Canis lupus familiaris: one gene and its partners. The protein of the gene in region 3 purifies or fractionates together with the protein of the main gene of each other region. This does not show direct contact. Links are inferred from orthologs where the notes say so. Each region holds a gene or a part of one and is shown on either strand. Other genes may lie near its edges.

Region 1 (7,255 bases), on a different chromosome or scaffold from region 3:
ACACATATTCCTGACAGTCCTCTGGGTTCTAACAGATTTATAGACTTGGTTAGATTTTATATTCTGTGTCAATAAAAGCAGAATTTCTCTACATTATAGAGTAAAATAGAGGGGCAATATGGAGTAGAGGTCATGTATGCAGCTTCTAGAACCAGACTGAGTTCAAAACCTAATTTTGCCACTTAGGTAACTGAATGACTTGAGGCAAATTATTTAACCTCTTGGTGTTTCATTTTTCCCTTCCTAAAACAGGAATCATCCAGTGCCTACCCCAAGGATTACTGTGAGAACTGAATGAAATAAGGTGTACAATGAAACACGCAGGATAATGTCCAACATATAAATCTTTAAAAGTGGAAGCAAATATTAACATCAACTTCATCATTTTAACACTGTACACAATACGGAGTGGCGCTTAAGAGATTGGACACAGGACAGAGATGCCTGGAAATTCTGTTCCATGCACGCCACTTAGAACTGCACAATATAGGTCAAGTTGCTTACTTTCTCTAGCTTCAATTTGTTCTTGTATAAAATGGAAATAATCGTATCTATCTCACAGCATTATTGTATAAATTAAGTTTCATAATTTTCTATAACTTGCCTGATCTTAGGAGTCAGTTGAAATGCTTATTGAAAATATAGATGTATATGTAAGTGCTATCTCAGACCTACTAACCCGAGTCCCTAGTGGACACTCCGGGGAAACCTGTATTTTTATGAATCGCTGCAGAGGATTCTCAGAATCAAACAAGTATGGAGAACACTGAGATAACTGCATCTCCTCCCAAAATCATTGTTGAGAGCCTAACCCCCATTGTGTGGTACTTGGACCCGAGATCTTTGGGAGATAATTAGGTTTAGATGTCCTGAAGGTAGAGCCTAATTTCAGGAAGGAATTAATGTCCTTATTAGAAGAGGAAGAGACACCTGAGCTCGCTCTCTCCACCCAATAAGGACATAGTAAGAAGGGGGCTGATGAGAGCGAAAAAGAGGCCTCTTACCAGTACCCAGCCATGCCGGCACCCTAATCTCTTGACTTCTGGTCTCCAAAACTGAAAATAAATTTCTGTTCTTTAAGCCACCCGTCTATGCTATTTTTTAATAGCACCTGGAATGGACAAAACACACAACGTATATAAGGAATAATACAATACAGGATAAGTGATGAGTGTCTCCCACATAGTAGCTATCCTTATTATGTGCATGCAAAATTCACATTACTCTAATGAAACTCTACGCTTGCAGAGAGCCGAGGGAAACTTCCTTCTGTAATTCTGGAGTATTTTCAGGAAAAAGATTTGGATTGAGAAGCAAAGAGAATGGATGGAGTAGACACACTCTTCTCTCTCTCTCTCCCGCTAAGAACAGCTAAGTACATAATTCACAGGACAACCCCACCCCCCTAAAGAATCATCTGGCCCAAAATGTCCATCATGAAACCTTGGTTTAAATCAACCTCCTCTTGAAGCCTTCCCTAGTAACAATAATCTCTTTGTTCCCTGTACCTACAGTTTCCAAGAAAGATTAAAGCAAGGTTTCCTGGCAACCCAGGTGGCCCAGCGGTTTAGCACCTGCCTTCAGCCCAGGGCACGATCCTAGAGACCCGGGATCGAGTCTCACATCAGGCTCCTTGCATGGAGCCTGCTTCTCCCTCTGCCTATGTCTCTGCCTCTCTCTGTGTCTCTCATAACTAAATAAAAATCATATATATATATATATATATATATATATATATATATATATATATATTTCCTGAGTTTTTCCCACGCATGTTATTTTCCCTTCCCATACCGAGCCTTGTCTTAGGCCATTCAGGCTGCTGCAACAAAATACCAGATTGGGTAGCTTACAAACAACAGAAATTGATGCCTGGAGTTCTGGAGGCTGGGAAGTCCAAGGTCAAGGTGCCAGCAGGGTCCCATTCCGGTGAAGGCCCTCTACCTCGTTCAGAGCCCCCAAGCCCTCTCACCCTTTGTCATCACAAGGTAGAAGGTGCAAGGGAGGGAGCTCTCAGGAGCCTTTTACAAAGGCACTAATTCCATTCATGAGGGCTCCACCCTCATCACCTAAGCACCTCTCAAAGGCCCCACTTCCTAATACTATATCACAACGGCATTAGGATTTCAACATATGAAGGGGCGGGGGGGGGGGCGCAGAAAAACATAAATATTCAGACCACAGCAAGTCTGATTCACTTCAGGCAGGGTCACTTATCAGCTGACTTGAAAATATTGTTTCCCCCGTCTCCTCTCTCCTTACAGCAGGGTGGTAGACCCAGAGCTAACAATTTATAGACACTCTGCCAAACGTCCTTCAAACCACGGGGCCTATGCAAGTCCAGCCAGAGCTACAGCTCCTTTTTCAAGATGCAAGGGTACGTCTTTCCTTATGAAACCGTCTCTTACCTATACGAGCAATTGCTCGTTCCCTCCCTCATGCTACTACTATGCCCCCTCTCCCTCACACACACACTTCTTCGTAAAACTCATCACAGCTATTTGTTCACCCGGCAGCCACTCCTTCACCCCGGGAGCAGCTTAAACCACAACCCTGACACGTTCTGCTAGCACATAAGACAGCTCCTCGTACGAAAGAGGCGATCAAAGAACGGAGGAGAGTGACGACAGGAACAGCAACCGCCCTTTCTTGGTTTTTTTTCTTTTTTTTTTTTTTTAAGATTCTACTTCTTTATTCATGAGAGACACAGCGAGAGAGGCAGAGACCCAGGCAGAGGGAGAAGCGGGTCCCACGCAGGGGGCCCGACCTGGGACTCGACCCCGGGTCTCCAGGATCACACCCTGGGCTGCAGGCGGCGCTAAACCGCTGGGCCCCCCGGGGATCCCCAGCAACCACCCTTTCGAGGCCCCCCACAGTGCGCCACAAACTGATGCCCTTGGCGCTACTTTCTCAGGACCGCTGATGCTCACAACCAATTATAGAAAAGGAAACTGAGGCCCAGGGAGCTCATTTAGACCTCCCGTCCGAGGCCCTGCTTTTAAAGACAGCTCAAAGCACACGAATCTGCAGCAGGAACCGTGAACTTTTCCCCCACTCGGGTGGGAGGATGGAGAGACGGCGCCTCGGGGAGGGGGCAGCCTGCCCAAGCCTCCGTGCTCGGCGTGCAGTGCCAGGACCACAGCCCGGGCGGACAGACCCCAGCTCAGGGCACCCGCGGGGCGCCCCACGGGGAGGCGACACCTGTCGCCACCCTCGCCCTCGCCACCCCCCGCTTCCGCCTTACCTGGAGGCGCGCCCCGGCTCGGTCTGGCAGCACCCGGACCGCCCACGCCCGGACCCCAACTCCTTCCTCAACTCCCTTCCCCAGTCGCTGAAACCGCGAGCGCGGGCTCGAGCGTCATCAGCCGTCGCCGGCCAGCGGTCACATGACGCCCCGCCCTGCTCCCGCCCCCTCTGGTCATGTGACTGCCACGGGCGCCACAGGCGGAAGCCGGGGTCCCGCCGGCTGGCGATCGGGGGCTGCGGCCGGAGGGGTCGTCGTGCGGGGAGGGGAGGCCGGGCACCCGCGTGCCGACCCCGCCCGCGCTCGCCGGCCCCGCACGTGCGCCCTGGCGCGGCCGGGGTGACAGGTGAGTGAGGGCGGGATGCGCTCTCCGGGGCCCCGGCCCCGCGCAGGGCCGCGCGGGCGGAAGGTGCGGCGTGGACGGGGAGTCGGGCTTGGAGGGCTGAGGGCCTGCCTGGGGCGGCGCTGCAGCCGCAGCTCTCCCACCTCCTCTCGGGGCCGTGGTTCTCCCCGCCGCGGACACTCAGCTGTTGGCCCGCCTCTGACCCCTCCAAGTTTCCAGGAGCCGCGCCGGGCGGGCGGCGTTAATCCTCCCCCTGCTCTCGAGAACACGGGGTGCTCGGCGAGGGCTTTGAGAGTCTGCTAGACCCGGGTTTGAATTCTAGCTCCGCCGTGGGTTCCGAACTTGAGCCAGTCATTGCTCCTCTCTGCACCCAAGTTCCCTCACCTGCGGCACGCCGGTGCCGAAGTTCTTTGCATTTTGGAAAATAGTTCCGAGGGTCCCGACAGGTTTGTGGCGCACGGTTGAAAACATAAATCAAGTCACGGTGCCGGTAATGGAGCCGGATTCCAAGTGCACGGAGTTTCCTCCAACAGAGATACTTGGGGTCGTGACAAGGGAGGGAGAGGTCTTCCTGCTTCTGCGCATAACCAGGAACGCCTCCCGTTTTTCGTTCTCCCGTCTTCCAGGATTTATGAATGGGGCTAGAGAGATCAGGCCCATTTCCGAACTTGCCTGGAAGAGATTTGTCACTTTTATTTTGATCAACAACCATTCTGTTTTGTTCCCGGTCATGGATAGGTGGAGCCCAGTGCTTCCTTCTTTATGGAACCGAGGTTTTATGAAAGGATTAAAAAAAAAAAAAAAGACTTCTTTTGTCCTCTGAGTAGGGCACACAGGTTTGTGTGGTTTGTCCCAGGACAATTTAATTTCCTTCAGAATTCAGTTCTGTACCTGTTGGGTAATTGGTATGATGGTGATGCCATGCTGCGTTCTTGAAACACGTTGTTGTCTTTTGTCTGGGGCTACCTTCCAAACTGAAAACCACAGTTCCATGCCAAAATTCTTAAAAATAAGTTAACAGCTGCTTTTTGGGGTGCCTTGTAAAGGAAGAGTAGGAAATCGAGTGGGATCTCTGGTTTCATTTCATGCCAGATAGTAATACAGCCTATATTGAGAAAACTGGTCTTTATGAGTTTCCTTCGTCTCTAGCACCAAGAGAACCACTAAATGGAAGATTTGATATAGGTTCATCTACAGTGTTTATCTGGGTCTCATTCGTTTTAAATCTCAACTAAGTATTAGCACCTTATGAAACCACCTGATTCTGAGAGCGCTGCAACATGATTAGGCATCTTTAATGTTGGTTTTAGATTCTGTTCTTTAGGGCAAGTTTCTCAACCAACAATGGGTTATCTACCAAATACTCTAACCAAATAATATTTTAAATGTTGCCTACAACGTAAGGATTTAAGGATTAAAATAAGGGGTAAACACACAAAAGTCTTCACTTATGTCATTATTCCAAGCCTAAGCTAACTTGACTCTCTGCGTGCCGGAGCTGAGTGTATCTCTTTTTTGTTTTTTGTTTTGTTTTGTTTTGGGGGGGGGGGCGGGTTTTGGTGGGTGAGGTAAGGAGAAGAAGGCAGGTAATGTTTTGCTTAAGATACTTTCTCCATGGTCCCATTGTCAATCCTATATTGGGATCCAAAATCTGGGAGCAGTTACACCAGTTAAACGTAGCTTGCTCACCTTGCAGTTGTGTCTTGAGTTTCATCCTACTTAGACCTGGATCTTCAGAGGAATTCAGTGACTTGTTGTTGTTGTTTTGTCCATTTGCCATTATTTTCCTCCTCTCCTTGTCTCATTTTCCCAACTAGACCATTTCAGTGCAAAAAAAAATGGAATGAAATTGGGGTGCCTGGCTGGCTCAGACAGTAGAGCATGTGGCTGATAATCTCAGGGTGAGTTTGAGCCCCACACTGGGGGTAGAGTTTCCTTAAAAAAAAAAAAAATGGAATGAGATGATCTGAAATTCAGCCTATTAGAGATCAATGTGGCTTAATGAGTAAACATTATGAGAAAACGAAAAGACTTGTTAATAATTTAATCCTTAATGTGTATTAAAGATCTCCTTATAAAACAAAGTTCTAAACAACTGTAGTGGTTTCTCAGCAATCCCTGCTCTTGGACCAACCCCATCTACTTCCTTTGATCTGTGCTTCTCTCACTTGCTCACTCTGTTCCAGCCACATCAGCCACTTGGCTATTCCTTCACATCTAGCACATTGCTGCTGCCCTGTGGCCTTTGCATTTAATTTAAACACTTCCTGGAATGCCCTCCTCCCAGATCATTACTGATTGTAAAATAACAGACTGCCCCAAAACCTAGTAATTTAAGACAAAAAAAATTTTTTTGGCTAATAGTTTCTGTGGTCAGGAACCTATGATGTAGCTTAGCTAGGTGCCTTTGGCTCAGGGGCTCTTAGGAGGTTGCAGCCTGGCTGTGAATAGAAGTTGTCTTATCTGAAGGCTCAACTGGGGTTGTGTGTAGTTCTATTTTCAAGCTCATTCAAGTGGTTGTTGGCAAGCCTCTCACTCCCTCATCACAGGGTACACTCACAACATGACAGCTTGCTTCCCCCAGAACAAACTAGCTAGGAAGGATGCCCCAGCCAGAAGTCACCATTTTTTGTGATCCAACCTCAGAAGTAATATCTTTTCCATCTGCCTTATTGTGTTCTTTAGGAGTCGGTAAGTCACCCTCAAGGAAAGGGTTCATACACAGGGCATGAACAAGGAGATGGAGGTCACTGGGAACTGTCCTAGGGGCTGCTGACCACACTCAAATACCCTTACTGCTTGCTTCCTTACTTCCTTCTGGTCCCTGCTCAAACATCTTATCACAGAGGCTGTAAAACAACACACACTCCATCTCTTTATCATGCTTTTTCTTCACAGCAATGATCACAGCCTGATACATAATGCATTTATTTATTATCTCTTCCCCACTCCTAGTAGTATGCAGGCTTTATGAGAGCCAGAACTTAGTTTTGTTTGCTGCAATATCCTCAGGTCCTAAAACAGTGCTTGACGCATAATAGGCACTGGGTACATATTTGTTGAATTAATGAATCTATACCAGTAGGATTCTGTAAAGAATCCAAAAGCCAACTAGCAGTAAATAAATCATAAAAATAGCTCATTTTACAAGGATTACAGAGGCAGGAAGTGCCACAGTTGAATCAATGAGTCAATAACATCAACAAGAATTTAGATTCTTGGGACGCCTGGGTGGCTCAGCAATTAAGCGTCTGCCTTCGGCCCAGCGCATGATCCTGGATTCCCGGGATGGAGTCCCACATTGGGCTCCCTGCATGGAGCTTGTTCTCTCTCTGCCTGTGTCTTTGCCTCTCTCTGTGTGTCTCTCATGAATAAACAAAATCTTTTTAAAAAAAGAATTTAGATTTTTTCTAAATTCCTTCCAAACCACAATCTGCAGGTTTTTGGCTTTTTTTCTTTTAGCTTGTCATCTTGTATTTCAGGCAAGATATGTTCATGGGACCACATTCAAAGGCAAGAAGGAGAGGGATAGCCAGAGGAAAGATAGAGAAATTTCTCTTCATATGCTTCTCTCCTTATAGCAAGAGGAAAAACAATATATTTCCTGTGAGGTCTACCATAGACTTCCTCTTTATATCTGATTGGTTGACACTGAGTCACATGTCTAA
Region 2 (7,071 bases), on a different chromosome or scaffold from region 3:
CGCTCTGATGTACAACTGCCACCACCTCACATTCTGCTCCTCTCTTCTCCCAACCCAACATCTCTCCCTGCCTTTACACTGAAATCTTGCTCATTCTTGAGGTCCAACTCAAGCCCTACTCTACTTAGGATTTACACCACGGCGTTCTTGCATTTTGTTTTAGTGCTTGGGAATTTTATCTCCTCCAACCAGATCGCATGTTTTTTCTGATGACCAGACCTCTTCTAACTCTGGGGCACCCCGTAGTCGTACACAACCTGCGCTGCCTGCCAGGCAACTTCTCCTCTGTTCTGCCAACCTCTGGTTCTCCTCTGCTGGGCAAATGTGTCAGCGACTGGCTCAGGGAGTGACATGTGAGTAACAGGAGACCCATGAGATTTATGACACCTGGGGCTTTTGCTGGAGCCACCAGAAAGAGATCTTCTTTATCCATGAGTTGATAAACTGATAGGGGCTGCTGGGGACCATCGTAGCTGACTCTCAGATGATTGAGAAGCGAGCCCACAGAAGGGAGCAGAGCCAGGGGGCAGAGCAGAGTCCTGATGGCACTGTCGGAGGCTCTGGATTGTAACCGCGCTTGATGCTAGCACTTCTCCACTTATGAGGGCCAACAACTTCCCTTCTTCCTGCTGGTTGGTTGCTTCCAACTGGAGATACACTAATGCGCCTTCCAGCATTTACTGTGGGCAGGGCACATGGTAGGCACAAAAGGTTTGCTGACTTGGCAGTTTGTTTGCCGCTAGGTCTAGAGTAGTCAGGTGGAGTGTTTTTTGCATTAAACATTGTTATTGTGGTAAAATATACGTTGACATTCACCATTTTAATCATTTTAAGTGTAGAGTTCGTTGGCATTAGGGACATTCACATTGTTGTGTAACCATCACCACCATCTGTTGCCAGAACATCCCAATCAGAAACCATATCCACTAAACACTAACTCTCTGTTCTTTCCTCTCCCCAACTCCTGGTAACCATTATTTTACTTTTTGTGTCTGTGAATTTGACTACTTTATGTACTTCCAAGAAGTGGAATCATACAATAGTTATTTTTGTGATTATTTTGTGATTATTTCATTTAACATAGCATCCTCATGATTGGTGCATGTGGTAGGCAGCATGTGCCAGACTTCCCTGGCTTTCTAAGGCTGAACATTCCGGAGCATGTACACACCACATCTCATTTACTCACTCACTGATTGACAGGTTGTTTCCACCGGTTGGCTTTGTGGATCGCGCTGCTGTGACTATCAGTGCGCAGATAGTTCAAGTCCCAGCTTTCATTTCTTCTGGGCCTGTGGCCACAGCTGCTGGGGCACAGATAATTGTTTCACCTCAGGACCCATCCTGCTGTTCTCCACAGCGGCTGCACAAACAGCACCCCAGGGTTCCAGCATCTCCACGTTCTCACCAATAGATGGTATTTTCCATTTTAGGGGAAAATATTTAACTTAAAGGTAGAACTGTTGTAATGCTGGGAATAGAGCTTATTCTGTTAGCCAGTCTAGAGAAGGACAGCACTGTTGAGTCAATGGGACATGAAGGCCAGAAGCTTCGGCCCAAAGTAGTTCTTTCACTCTTTACCAGCATCACCTCTTTATAAACTCCCTACTCTGTTACACACTGACAGGCCGGGTGACACCTCTTTGTCAGGGAGGGAAGCCGGTCCTGGTGATTGGCCACTCCCCCTTTCCCAGGGAGGGGAGAGGGAGAGAGGCCAGGCACATTTTGACTTGTGGGTAACAGTTGCCTCACACCTCCATGCCCGCCATGTTTTCAACCAGAAGTTGCCTTGTCATCAACCCCAGGGCGCTCTTATGGAGAAGAGGGAAGCTGTGGCATACCAGGTGCTCACGGTGTACCCCCAGTGAGGTGTGTTAGCAGCTGTTGCCTCTTTACAGGACCTCCCCTTTTCCTCGTTCCCCTGGCTACGGAAAACTATTGCTTGAGCCCTTAGGGGAAGATGGAGGGCATGTGAAACATGAGGTCCCGGAACAGGCTGCCATCTTGAAAGGCTTTATTTCTACTTCATCATTGTCTCATACAGACTCTGAGGGACCATCCTTTGCTTCAGTTTGGTACCCTCCGGACTTTTTGCAGTGCTTTTCCTTAAACAAGAAAATTTTGAGTAAACACTGTATATTGCCAGTTCATCTTTAACAATAATTTAAAAATGCCATTGCTGTTGTATCTCAATGCAAGAGGACAACGATGAAAGTACAGTACGAGGGATTCACAACGTATTACAGTGGGACAGATGACTCACACTTACGCAATGGTAGGACCACAGTAGCAGTATGTACATGCACCCCAGAGCGCTTCGAACCCAAAGACATGCAAGTCGAGTAGAGTACGTGGATTATACAGCAAATTTGGTAAGCCCAGCTGAGGACTCTGTACCTTTGCAAGAATGCTGACGTGTATCCCCTCCAGTAGAGAGGATATCCGTCTTGTCGACTGGCTTCATGGCTTTTTCACTATAAAAAGTTCACTGAATCAGTCTGAAGCATTTCAAAAATTCTTAAAAAACAAGAACACTGACAAAATGAAGTTAACTTAAAACACTCTACTTCAATGTGGGAACAAATCAAACCAAGGCGTAACAGTGCAAATTTAACAGAGAGGCAGTCAGTATTGAGAGCAAGGGTGTTCAGAATCTCTTAAAATGTACATCTTTAAAACTTTTATTTTTTAAATTTATATCTTATCTAGCTTTTTTGTTTAATATACTGTGTAAAAAAGATGGAGACAAAAATAGTTTTCTGAGCTATGAAAAAAATTAAGTTATTACAGGCACGTTTACGGTTTCGTTCTAGAAACATCTCAGGTTCACAGGTTGGACATTCAGCAGCTGTGTGTTTTTTAAAAACATTCTTTGACCTTGGGAAAGCTAGATCTTTCCTTGTGGGTGGAGCTTGGTTGATGACAGCGTGGTTATGCAAATTACAGGGAATCATTCCCTGATAATCCATGCAAACTTGCACTCGTCACAGGTGTGTCTTCTCCCCCGGTGGCTCCTCATCGCCGAGCTCCTCCAAGGAGGCTGGGTCTCCGGGTGACTGAGCCAGTGAGGCAGTGGGGGAATGTGAGGCCCAACGGGACGGAAGGCGACGGTTTGCTGGTCTCTCGGGCCTGGAGAAGCAGGGTTCTAGGGATGGAGCTAGTGCGGAACAAGGTAGTTCCTTCAAAGCCGAGAAAGAGAAAGACAGGGTTACTCAGAACCACAGTTCCTTTGTGGGGGGAAGGGGGTGACTCTCCCCAAACACACTTCTCAACAGACTCCAGTTAAATGCAATGGATTAGGGGCAACTTCCCAATGTTAATTTATACTTGCTCCAGGAGAATAACAAAATGGTCAGTGAAAAATTCAAACAGATGATCAGTGACAGAGGAATGAGAAGATAGCAAATTATGATCAAAATATGGCAATGCTGTGAGATGGGTATGTTTACACAAGCATCTTCAGAATTGGGCTAGAGCCTATGGAAGGTGGGGGAAAGCCACAGGCCACCTGGTCATGGTCTGACTTGGCTGACCCCATCCTTCTGGCCCTCCTGAGTGATCTATTAGCCACAGTGACCTGGCCCTAAAAGGCCAGTCTCCCTACCCTTTGGTCTGTTGGAGGCCCATGAAGAGACGGATGATTTATCCAGCTGTATTAGCAAAAAGACTCACCTTAAAACGAACTCTGCTACTGTTTATTCCAAGTTGACTGACAGTGGGTTAAACAAACTCCCACAACATGGAAAAAAAATGCTGCAGGCAGAAATTTTAACTTCGGTCTGGTTTTTAATGACTCTTCCCTGCTGCAGCATTTTAGAAAGTGGCATCAGAGTGTGCTTGTGCTTCTGTTATAGGCATCCTACGCCTTCTGAGAACAGATAATGCAAGACACACTCAACTGTGGGGCAGACCACCTATAATACATCTTCCCGGGCCAAGGCTCCTTTTCTGGTGTTAACGAATGTCCAGCTACTTGTCCTTAGTCTGCAGGCTAGGAAACAAGGATGCCCAAACCTGGAGTCTGCTGGTGCACGAAGAGTGCGGGTGGTGGGAGGAAACCCGAGTTCACCGGGCGGAACCCACCTGCCCAGGTGACACTCAAACAAGAAAAAGCTGAGATGGTAAGCCACTGCAATGAAGAATGACAGCAAATACAGGCTCTCAGAGCCCAAAGGGAAGGACATCAGAGGACGGACATAGATGTGACAAGCAAGTGCAGAGGCCAGGATGAGGAGGGTTTAGTCTGCAGAGCAGGGAGTGACAGTGGAGAAGAGACGGTGGGCTGTATCCATGGGCACAGTGAGGACTAAGGAGAAGAGGGGAGGCAGAGCGCCGCCTTGGGGCTTCTGGAAGAGTGATGGAGTGAGGTGGGCCTTGCTTCCCCGTGGGCCCCACGGGAAATGGCATGAACACTGAGATACTTCTAAACATCCCCGGCCTCCTTGTGACGGCAGTTGTAGCAGAGGATGGGGAAACCTTGATTAGCAAAGTGCTAGGCTGGTGGGAACCATGGCAACCAGGAAGACCTCGCCCACAAAGGCCTGAAATAGCTGAAATGCAAACTAGGTGGGGTGAGCTGTCCTCTCCTCACCTCAGCCCTGCTATGCACATGCGTGGAGGTGCATGGTTTAGGACACCTGCTACTGCTTTGTCTTTTTCTGTCTCTGCTCCTCCTATTGTCAGATTTGTGTGTTGTGTGTTTGTATTGTGTATGTTGTGTAGTATATAAGTGTGTTGTGTATGTGTGACATCATGTTGTGTACAAGTATGTGCCTTGTATGAGGATGTTATGTGTGCATCGTGGGTCATTTTGTGCATGAGTGTCATGTGCTGCATGTGCTATGTATGAGTGTGTGGTGTGTGCCAGGTGTGAATACTGAGATGGCTGCTATCATGGGTTTTTTCCAACACCGCTGCAGCCCATTGCCACCTGGCCGATACTGAACCAGAACGGGCTTTTGATTAGACAGCGTGGTGCCACTTCTTCATCATGTGAACCCCTATAGGGAGAAATGTGTGACCGGGTTCAAGAATGGACTCTTTCTTTAGTAACACACCAGTACATACATGCAAATGGTCCCGTCCTTCCCTAAGAAGCCACTGCAATGGCTTAAAATGTGGCCATTTTATCTTGAGAGCACCTTTTTAGTCTTTGAGAGCCAACTGCATTTTTGTATTTAACACTCTGAGTTAAGACTAGTGGGTGAGGTGGGTGGGTGACTAATTCGTGATCAGACATAAAACTGGTATTTTTTCACATGCCTCGATTCAGGCTCAGATGGCAATTCTGTGAGACTATTTTTTGGAGCAAGGGATGGCTTTGTTGTTGATTCATCCAACAAATATTTATTGAGCACTTACTACATCACCTATGGTGATCACTTCGAAGGACAAGATACATTTGGATTTATTCCTTCTGGTGCGGGTGTTGAAAGAGAGAGAAAAGCCTCATCGAATTATGGTCACATCTCATTATAGCATCTAGTAGTGTACGTGTGCCTCCAGGATACCAGCGAGCAGGGACAGGCCACCTGGGAACATATTCGGCTCACAGATCCCCACCGACCAGGCCTCTCTGCCAGAGACAGTCCCTTCTCCAGCCAATATACCTTTACTCCTATGAGAGCAGAGAGTGGAAATCTCAGCAGGATTTCTTCGGTACTCTGTGCGGCCACTGGGAATGTCTAGGCTTGCCCATCTGTCCCTGAATGTGGACTGTAGGCCAGTGCAGGTGGTGGGCTCTATGGTCAGGGCAGATCTACCTGGCACGTTTCAGCCTTGTTTCTGAGGCTGAATCGTGGCATTTCTGACGCCAACCAACCCCAGGTTACACAGATGACCTTTCCAGACGGTGTGCAAAGAAGGTAGAAAGCACTTACGGCGTGAGGCCGGCAGGGCTAGAGTTCCCAGGGGGCAGTTAGTAAGACAGTTTGGTTCTGGACAGAACAGACAGAGAAAGAAAAGAAAAGCAAGTAGGTTGGAAAGTACTTTTTAAACAAGAAGAACAGTAAAGGTTTAAAGTCAACAAGCCTGGTGGTAGTTCCAGGGACAGCTATCAGGAGAAACATGGGGCCTGCAGAAACGGGCAGGTGCACCCCGGGTACGCAGACCTCTCTCTGCATGGGTCCAGGTGGTTTGGAGCATGGAAGGACCCTCACTGCAGAACAACATCCGATCTCTCCCCTCTGCTTTCTGTTCTTCCCTGATTGGCCCTTTAGCACTTAACATTTCAGAAACCCTTTGGTGTGCATAGAGATGGAAGTCACATGACTGTTGTATTTGAAACAGAGGATTAAATGGTCTGTTTTTGTCACAATGATCACATGGTTACTGCTCACACTAAAAGTTTCCCCTTGTATTTTCCACTAGACACAGGAGGGAAGAATAGCACTGCATTTCCAGATTATTCTTTCCCTTCACACCATAACTCATCTCTTAGCTTCTCCGCATGATAGAACTGGTGCTACAGTATCAAGAGAAAAAAAGAGGATAAATATAGCCATGGGACAGGAGTGAGAAAAGACAAGGGAGATTTCCCGCCATGCCCCCAGCCAGGGAGGCCAATGTCCAGGCATCCAGGGAACATTTAGGGAAGGGCCCACTGCGGGGTGCTCAGGGCAGGTTGGACAATCAGCACAAGTCCTGGTGATTTTGGAATGAAAACCCAGAACTACTTATTACATAATTTAGGGGATGATGGGAAGGGATTTCCAATGGGCCTATTACAGGAAGTCAATTTAGATAGGAACAATGTCACTGGAATCTAGAACAAGCAAAATACCAACAGGAAAGGAAACAGGAGCCCATAGTATTTAATCTCTGCCAGTGAGTGCTCCAGGCAAGTACTGAATTCCCCGAATTAGCCGATCATCTCTTTGGTAGCAAACACACCCAGTGAGAAGATAATTTAAATGGACATTTTACAGAGAGGACCAAAGTGGCAGGGGGATGGGCATAGCTCCGTACTGATAAATTCGTTTTCATGCCTTAGAGCTGCTTTAGCCATTAAGCGGTTGTCTTTCTATTATCATAGATTGCTTGGAGCATTCACTGTAACTCAAAGCCCTTTTT
Region 3 (7,255 bases):
CTAAGCAGAAACCAAGTGTCAGACTCTTAACCAACTGTGCCACCCAGGCACCCCATATGCTACTTCTGCTTTTCATAAACCTGTTTTCATTTTGTGAATTCACAATTCCTTTGTTCATTCCCTCACTAAAGCCTTCTACTCACTACATGCAGTGTATTGACAGTTGCTAAAGATATTATTTCTGCACTTATGAATTCCAACAGAACAAAAGAAAAAAAAACAGGTTAACAGACAACTATTATGCAAAATTATATTTAATACTAATGATATGTTATAGCCAGACACGTGGTCTGCGATAAATCTTGAGGGATGAGTAAGATTTTCATCTTTCAAAAAAGTGGACTAGGAAGCAGTTCTAACATCAAAAAGTGGGTAAGAAGGTATCAGCAAAACAAAAAAAAAAAAAAAACAAACTACAATTTACTGTGTGTTTACTATATGCCACGTACCATTTATATGTATCCTCACATTTCAGAGGAAACAGGCTGAGAGGTTACATACTTTATCCAAGGTGCTAGATAGACGTGGACTAGCACATAGGTCTTCTTCAATTCACAGCATGATTAAGTATGTATTGGAGTCAGAACTATCAAAGTAAGGATGGGATACAAGGCCACTAGTATCATTTTCAAGAGTTGGGCTTCCTTGTAAAGGCAATGGAGGATCCAGCAACTAAAAGTTTGGGAGTACAAAAACAACATACTAAAACATGACTCTGACACAGGAAATTGGTGGAATTAGTCTAGAAAGTTTATAACAAAAAGCCTACTGTGGCAAATACAAAAGAAGGGAAAGGCCAACTATGAGACATTCTTCTGATCCTACTTGTCCTCCTCTGGCTTTATTTCTCCCTTAACTGTGTAGTCACAGAACAGGTATAGTCAATTTGTATTCTATTCATACCATAAAATTTTGTTACTGAACAATAGTAGTTAATAATGTAAATAATAGTTTAATAGTCTGGTCAACTGAGACGTAAAAAACTAAAATTAATATAAATGAATTACCTTTTCAAGCAAAAAGAAATTTTTTGCACAAGACACATTTTGATGATGGGAGCAACAAGATTCAGAAACAGACTCTAAGGTACAGAGCTCGAGGAGGCAAAAGTTAACATAAAGCTGAAGTTAAAAACCAGGATAACTAGAATAATGGAAATAGAGAAATAAAGAGAAAAATGAGCAGGAGATAGATTTCTGCCCCACTTGGTGTAGAAGGAAAGGGGAAGGGAGGGAGTTTATGAATTTACTCTTAGGAAGGTTCCGTCTGAACACATCTCATTAACTGTCTCCTGTGAAAAGGACGAGCCAATAAAAATGTGTGACTAGTGCTCAGAAGGGAAGTTAGGACTGAGCTATGTATTTGAGAAATGTTCATAAAAATGAAGCTATGGAAGTGGATCACTCTTATCATCAGAGAAAGGTAGGAGGGGTTATAGGGAAAAAAAACCAAAAAGATCCTTTCCAACTAATAACTGTCTTCCTTCTGGAGCTCGGGAGTGACTTTCCTCTGTTAGGAGGGGCGTGAAACGTATTAATTCTCCTGCTTTATACTGTAATTTCACATAATTTCAAATTCACAAAATTGCTTTACTCTACAATGCAACTAACCCCAGGAATGGAAAACATGAACTGTTTTTGGCCTAGAATTTCTAAACAATGTAAAAAAAAGTATCTCTGGGACGTGCTACCACAAATGAGTAACTTTAAAGAACATCACTGTGCTTCTTCAGATAATTTTATTTCCTATTAATCTAGTGGCCAAAGGTGAAAAGGTTATTAAATTTCATAGTGGTATCCTCACAAAGCAATTGTACATGATTTTAAAAAACAAAGATGTTATTCTAGATGAATCTTTATAAAATGCTTCCTACCTTAGTTTGCATATATGAAACTATACCAGTAGCATAAAATTTTAAAATGTGTAAATAATAAACTTTGTCCTAAAATAAACAAATTCAGTTTATAATGCAACACTATTAATGTTAGATATTTACAATTTTTAGTAAAAACAAAAAGAACTACTGTTTTCTCCTTTTCCAAAAGAAGTTGTCAACAAATTGAAAACAAAGATAAAGCCAGAAAAGATCCTATCATTCATTGTCAAGGGAGCGTAATTGTCACAACAGTACCAACTCTGGATTCAGACAGACAGGTATAAATATCCCCTCTGCCTGGACACCTGGGGAGCTCAGTGGCTGAGCGTCTGCCTTTGGCTCAGTACCTGATCCTGGAGTCCTGGAATCGAGTCCCACATAGGGCTCCCTGCATCGATGGAGCCTGCTTCTCTCTCTGCCTCTGTGTCTCTCATGAATAAATAAATAAAATCTTTAAAATATATGTATATATATTCCCTCTGCCACTTCTTACCTAGGCATCCTTGGGTGAATCACTTAAAAGCTACTGAAACCTTATTTTATGTACCTGTGAAATGGTATAATAAAACCTACCTCAAACTTACAACATATTAACAAATGTATGTACCGGTCTGGGCCACCCAATGTACGGGTATTATGTAAATTAACAGATTCCCTTCTTCAGATCTTCAATCAATAATGGAAATTCCAACAGCTTAATAGTATTAAAAGTTTATTTTTGAAAATTACAAATAAGGTGGCAGAAAAAGTAACACGATTTAAATATTAGTTTTAAAATACCAAAAATAAATACATAAAAATAAAATACCACCTTTTAAAATTTTATTTGATTCTATACCCAACCTACTCACAAAAGATTAAAAGAACATTTAAATAACTAAAGTGGCAAGTGTGTTAGCATTTCATTTCACCAGTTATTTGAATGTAACCCAGAAGTTTGGTCTTCTTAAATCACTAAATATAGCAATGAACTATATATGAAAATATCAACAAAATAGTCTTAGGAAACAACAAAAACACCAAATTCCTTCAAATTTTTTTTCTTTTTTTAAAATTTTATTTATTCATAAGAGACAGAGACAGAGAGGAAGAGACATAGAGGGAGAAGCAGGCTTCCTGCGGGGAGCCCGAGATGGATGGGACTCCATCCCCGGACCCCGGGGTCATGCCCTGGGCCTAAGGCAGATGCTCAACCGCTGAGCCACCCAGGCGCCCCAAATTTGAATTTTCATTCATTTAGTCTTAAACCACCAAGTTGGGAAAGCTTGGAGGATTAAGACACCCTCCTCCCTCCTCTTTAGGGAGTTTAGTGCCCTGAGAATGCCAGATAATGAGGAACCTCGTCAATTCATTTGGAGAAAACTTTGCCATTTTTAGGCCTTTACAACACACGGCAGGACTCTATTAACTGCCGCACTGAATTCTCTCTCCTCAGCCAGATTCTAGCCACTTAAACTACTAACCACTACTTAAGGACAGCAGAATGAGACCATGACAATCCCTTTAAAGACCTTTAGCACTAACTTTAAACGTGTGTGCTCGGATCCTGAACATTTTCTGTGGTGAACTCATGGTTATTTAACCTATTATAGCACAAGTGCACACTTCAGAGCAACTTTTGCATATGCAAGGGATCTGCCTGCCAGGTCCGTGAATTAGGGAGAACCTTGCAGCTCTCCCCATCTTGTCCTTTTATGATCACTTGCACCAAAGGGCTCAGAGGGAAGAAAAGCAAAGCAAAGCAAAGCAAAGGAAAGGGGAAGGGGAGGAAAGGGGAAGGGAAGAGGAAGGGGAAGGGAGGGGAAGGGAAGGGAAGGGTAAAGGAAAGAAGGAAAAGACAGGAAAGGAAGATTTCCAAAATCGAAGATGAGGCCCACTAATGCACATTTACATCGGGAAGGCGACAGGACATTACATTTTGGTGCTGGTTTACATCCCAGGCTATTAAAAAAACAAAACAAAACAAAACAAAAAAAACATGGAGCAGAGCTGTAACTGAAAATATCCTTAGGCTTTACATTAGGATTTCTTAAACACCCTGAAGTGTGTTTCATCCGCGGCTGTACCGCTTTGGAACTTAAAAAATAAATAAATAAATAAATAAAAATAAATAAATAAATAAAGGTGAACACTGTGAAATTAAGAGTGGACGCTTGGAAAACTGTAACTATCTCAATCCACAGATTAGGTCCCGTCAACGTTTCTGAGTTTGAGAAACGTCAAAGTTCTTCCGGGAAAATGCGGAAAATCAATACGCCCCCCCCCCCCGTTTTCCCCCCTTCCCCCCCTTCCCCCTCTTCCCTGGGGAATGGGCCCTCCTCACAGGGAAAGGGGGGGGGCGACCTCAGAGACCCAGTTTTAGGATCAGATTCCTTTTTGTTCGAAATCGCTTGAGACTCTGGGGCCGTTCGCGAGGTTTCGAAGCTGGCGCGGCCGCCACCACAGCGGCGCCGGGGCGGCCGGGCCGGGGCGGGCGGCAGACGGCGACGCGGAGCGGGGCGGGCGGGGGTCGCGGGGAGCGACTGGGCCGCCTCGCAGCCAACCGCGGAGCCGCACGGCTACGGCGACGGCCGGAAAAGAGAAACGGGAGACGGCGGGGGGGGGAGGGGGGGAGGGAGAAGAGAGACTTCCACTGGGAAAGGAGAAAAAAAAAAAAAAAAAGCGAAAAAAAAAAAAAAAAAGCGTCGAGAACCAGAAAAGGAAGCGTTTTGGCTTCTGGGAGGAGGGAGGAGGGAGGAGGCGAGGGTCGGCCTCCCAGGCGCCTGCCCCCTCAGCCCTCGGCCCTCGGCTCTCAGCCCGGCGGCAGCCGCCAGCCCAGGCCCCGCGCCCAGGCCGCGACCCGGCGCCCCCGCGCCCCCGCCGCCCCCGCCGCCGCCGCCGCCGCCGCCTGTTTCCAGAGCACACACCCTACAAGGCGCGGCGAGGCGCGGCGCGGCGAGGCAGGCCCGGCGCAGACCTGCCCCCGCGCGCGGCCTCCGTGACTGACAGCGGCAGGCGCTGAGGCGCCGCGGCGACCGGCGGGCAGGAAGGGCGGCCGAGGGCACACGCCGGGGCCCCTCCGCGGCCGCCGGCCTCCGCCGCCCGCGCGGCTCCTACCTTCTCCTCATCGGACAGCTGCTCCTCCAGATCCGCCATTTTCCTCCCGGCGACAGACCGCGGCGGCGGCGGCGGCGGCGGCCACCTGACTTCCCCCTCGCGCCGTGCGGTCCTCCGCGCCCCGCGCGCCCCCGCCGAGGGAGAGGCCCGCCGCCCAGCCCGCCGCGCACGCGCCCCGGAAGCCCCGCCTCCTCCTCCTCCTCCTCCTCCTCCCCCCTCTCCCCGCCGGCGCGGCTGTGCGCATGCGCGGGAAGCCGGCCGGCGCCGGGGGGCGGGGCCGAGCGCCGGGGGGCGGGGCCTGCCGCCGCGGGTGAGCAGCTGGGCCCGCGTCTGCGGCGGGTACATCCTGAGCCCATCCTGAGCCCATGCTGAGCCCATCCATCCTGAGCCCTCCATCGTGTTCCCGTCAAGCCCTCGGCTCTGCCAGCCACCCGGGGAAACAGCGGACGAATAGAAGCTTTGCAAGACCATCTGTTTTCTTCAAATCACTAGAAAAATATTCCGTCTTTATTAAAATATGCACGCACAGCCCAGCCCACACTCGGGACCTTGCTCTCGGTACAGTCAGTCGTGCATTCACTTAAAGAAATGTTAACTGGTCCTTTACCGTGTGCCGGGTTGGTCCCTGCAAATACACAAGGAGGAGAGAAAACCAGAGATCTCTGCTCTCCAGAGGCTCCCTGTCTACTCTGGAAACAAGCACTGAGCAGTTGGGGAGGGCGCTGTGCTATGGTGGGGGAAGACAAAGTTGTGTTAGAAGACGTGGTTCCTACTCTTCTGAACTTCATGGCGAGGTTGAAATCAGAGAGCCCTGTAAAATTTGAATTTCAGATGAACAGTGAATATCGTTTATGCATAAGTACCTCCCATGAAGCATTTGGGATGCACTGAGACGGTGTTGGTGGTTTTCAAATTGTATGGGAATCCTTTACTTTGATTTGCAAAATCTGAGAAGCTTACTCGTGACATTTCAAGTTCAGCAAAAGAGTGAAAATGTAGTAAAAACTGTGTATGTGAATTAGCTGGGGATCTTGTTAAAATGCAGTTACTGATTCTAGGAGGTCTGCGATGGGGCTGGAGAATCTGCCTTTATAACAAGCTCTCTCACACTTTTTAGCAAGGCCTGTAGAATTCAGATAGGACTTAAGACTTTATAATCGTTATGCTGTACATCTAAAACTAAATCAATGTTGTAGGTCAACTATGTCTCAATTTTAAAAATATTTTTAAAGACTTCATTCAGTCAAGCGCATGAATTCTATAATTTCTTTTAACTGTATCAAGAAGATGGTATTGGGAGATTTCTGAAAGGATTATCAGAAATGATACATAACTGCTGGTTGTGTCACTGTGAAGAGACGCATATAAAGTATCACCAAGATTATGAAGATAGTGTGACTCAAATTATTGCAAAGCATTACCAAATGTGGGTGAGGTTTCTAGAGGAAAAGAGCAGCCTGTTAGTCAAGCAACAGCATCTACTGAGAAACCCAGTGTGTACACATTAATATTAGGTGTTGCTAAGTAAACAGAAACAAACAAAAAACAGAAGAAAGGGGGAAAAAAAACCCAGAAGTAGAGTTGATGCAGCAAGTGGTGATGACTAAAACTGATAGTAATCAGTTGGAGAGAGTAATCACCTTCATTAGGTTGTATATGGAGGAGAGTGCCTAGACTTTAGAGAGGAAGAAAGATCTCAAAGTGCAACAACTTAGGATACAGAGTTAGAAGCCTGGATTATTCTTTTTTTTTTTTCAAGAGGCCTGGATTCTAATAGCAATTTAGTCGCTTGAGTGCAAACTTGAACAAATATTCAGCCTCGTTTTTTTCTCCTGGAAAATGGGTATAGTAATGCTGATAGATACCTTACTTCATGAGGTTGTAGTGAGAAATTGATGAAGCAATGAATGAATGACCTGTCAACTATAGAAAAATGAACATATTATTTATTTACATCCGATGAGGTCCCTGACCAAACCGTGTGGTTTATTCTCTATCATACCTTCTCTGCACCATTATCCTCAACAACACACCTGCTTTTTCCTTCACGTGTCAGCAAGCATCCCCTTCCTGTTCTCTCCCAGAATGGACTACAAGGTTTTCAATAGTATGGTTTCTGTTTGCTTTCCATCCACAAGAAACAATGATTTGCATACTCTGAACACTCAGTAAATTACTTAATAGCAGTGTTTTCTAGATTTATAGTGACTTGTGTGAAGGTACTTTCACATGTGTCATTTACATGCAGCAAGATTGATCTTGCTGGGCATGTTTCTAATGTCG

Evidence for each region.
Region 1: the proteins of CAPZA2 (region 3) and WASHC5 purify together in Homo sapiens (affinity purification with mass spectrometry; 3 studies listed by BioGRID and IntAct, counting the BioPlex papers as one, with this or other methods). This does not show direct contact. The link is inferred for Canis lupus familiaris from reciprocal best matches to the Homo sapiens genes CAPZA2 and WASHC5.
Region 2: the proteins of CAPZA2 (region 3) and MTCL1 purify together in Homo sapiens (affinity purification with mass spectrometry; 3 studies listed by BioGRID and IntAct, counting the BioPlex papers as one, with this or other methods). This does not show direct contact. The link is inferred for Canis lupus familiaris from reciprocal best matches to the Homo sapiens genes CAPZA2 and MTCL1.

The regions. Positions count from the first base shown.
Region 1 is NC_049234.1:23,489,104-23,496,358, reverse strand, and holds the start of WASHC5 (WASH complex subunit 5), read left to right. Parts: upstream 1-3,453; 5' UTR 3,454-3,590; intron 3,591-5,404; exon of another isoform or gene 5,405-5,488; intron 5,489-7,255. UniProt on the Homo sapiens protein: Acts as a component of the WASH core complex that functions as a nucleation-promoting factor (NPF) at the surface of endosomes, where it recruits and activates the Arp2/3 complex to induce actin polymerization, playing a key role in the fission of tubules that serve as transport intermediates during endosome sorting.
Region 2 is NC_049228.1:75,040,266-75,047,336, reverse strand, and holds the end of MTCL1 (microtubule cross-linking factor 1), read right to left. Parts: intron 5,937-7,071; coding exon of another isoform or gene 5,898-5,936; exon of another isoform or gene 5,880-5,897; intron 3,180-5,879; coding exon 2,985-3,179; 3' UTR 1,998-2,984; downstream 1-1,997. UniProt on the Homo sapiens protein: Microtubule-associated factor involved in the late phase of epithelial polarization and microtubule dynamics regulation.
Region 3 is NC_049235.1:55,890,741-55,897,995, reverse strand, and holds the start of CAPZA2 (F-actin-capping protein subunit alpha-2), read right to left. Parts: upstream 5,119-7,255; 5' UTR 5,012-5,118; coding exon 4,973-5,011; intron 1-4,972. UniProt on the Homo sapiens protein: F-actin-capping proteins bind in a Ca(2+)-independent manner to the fast growing ends of actin filaments (barbed end) thereby blocking the exchange of subunits at these ends.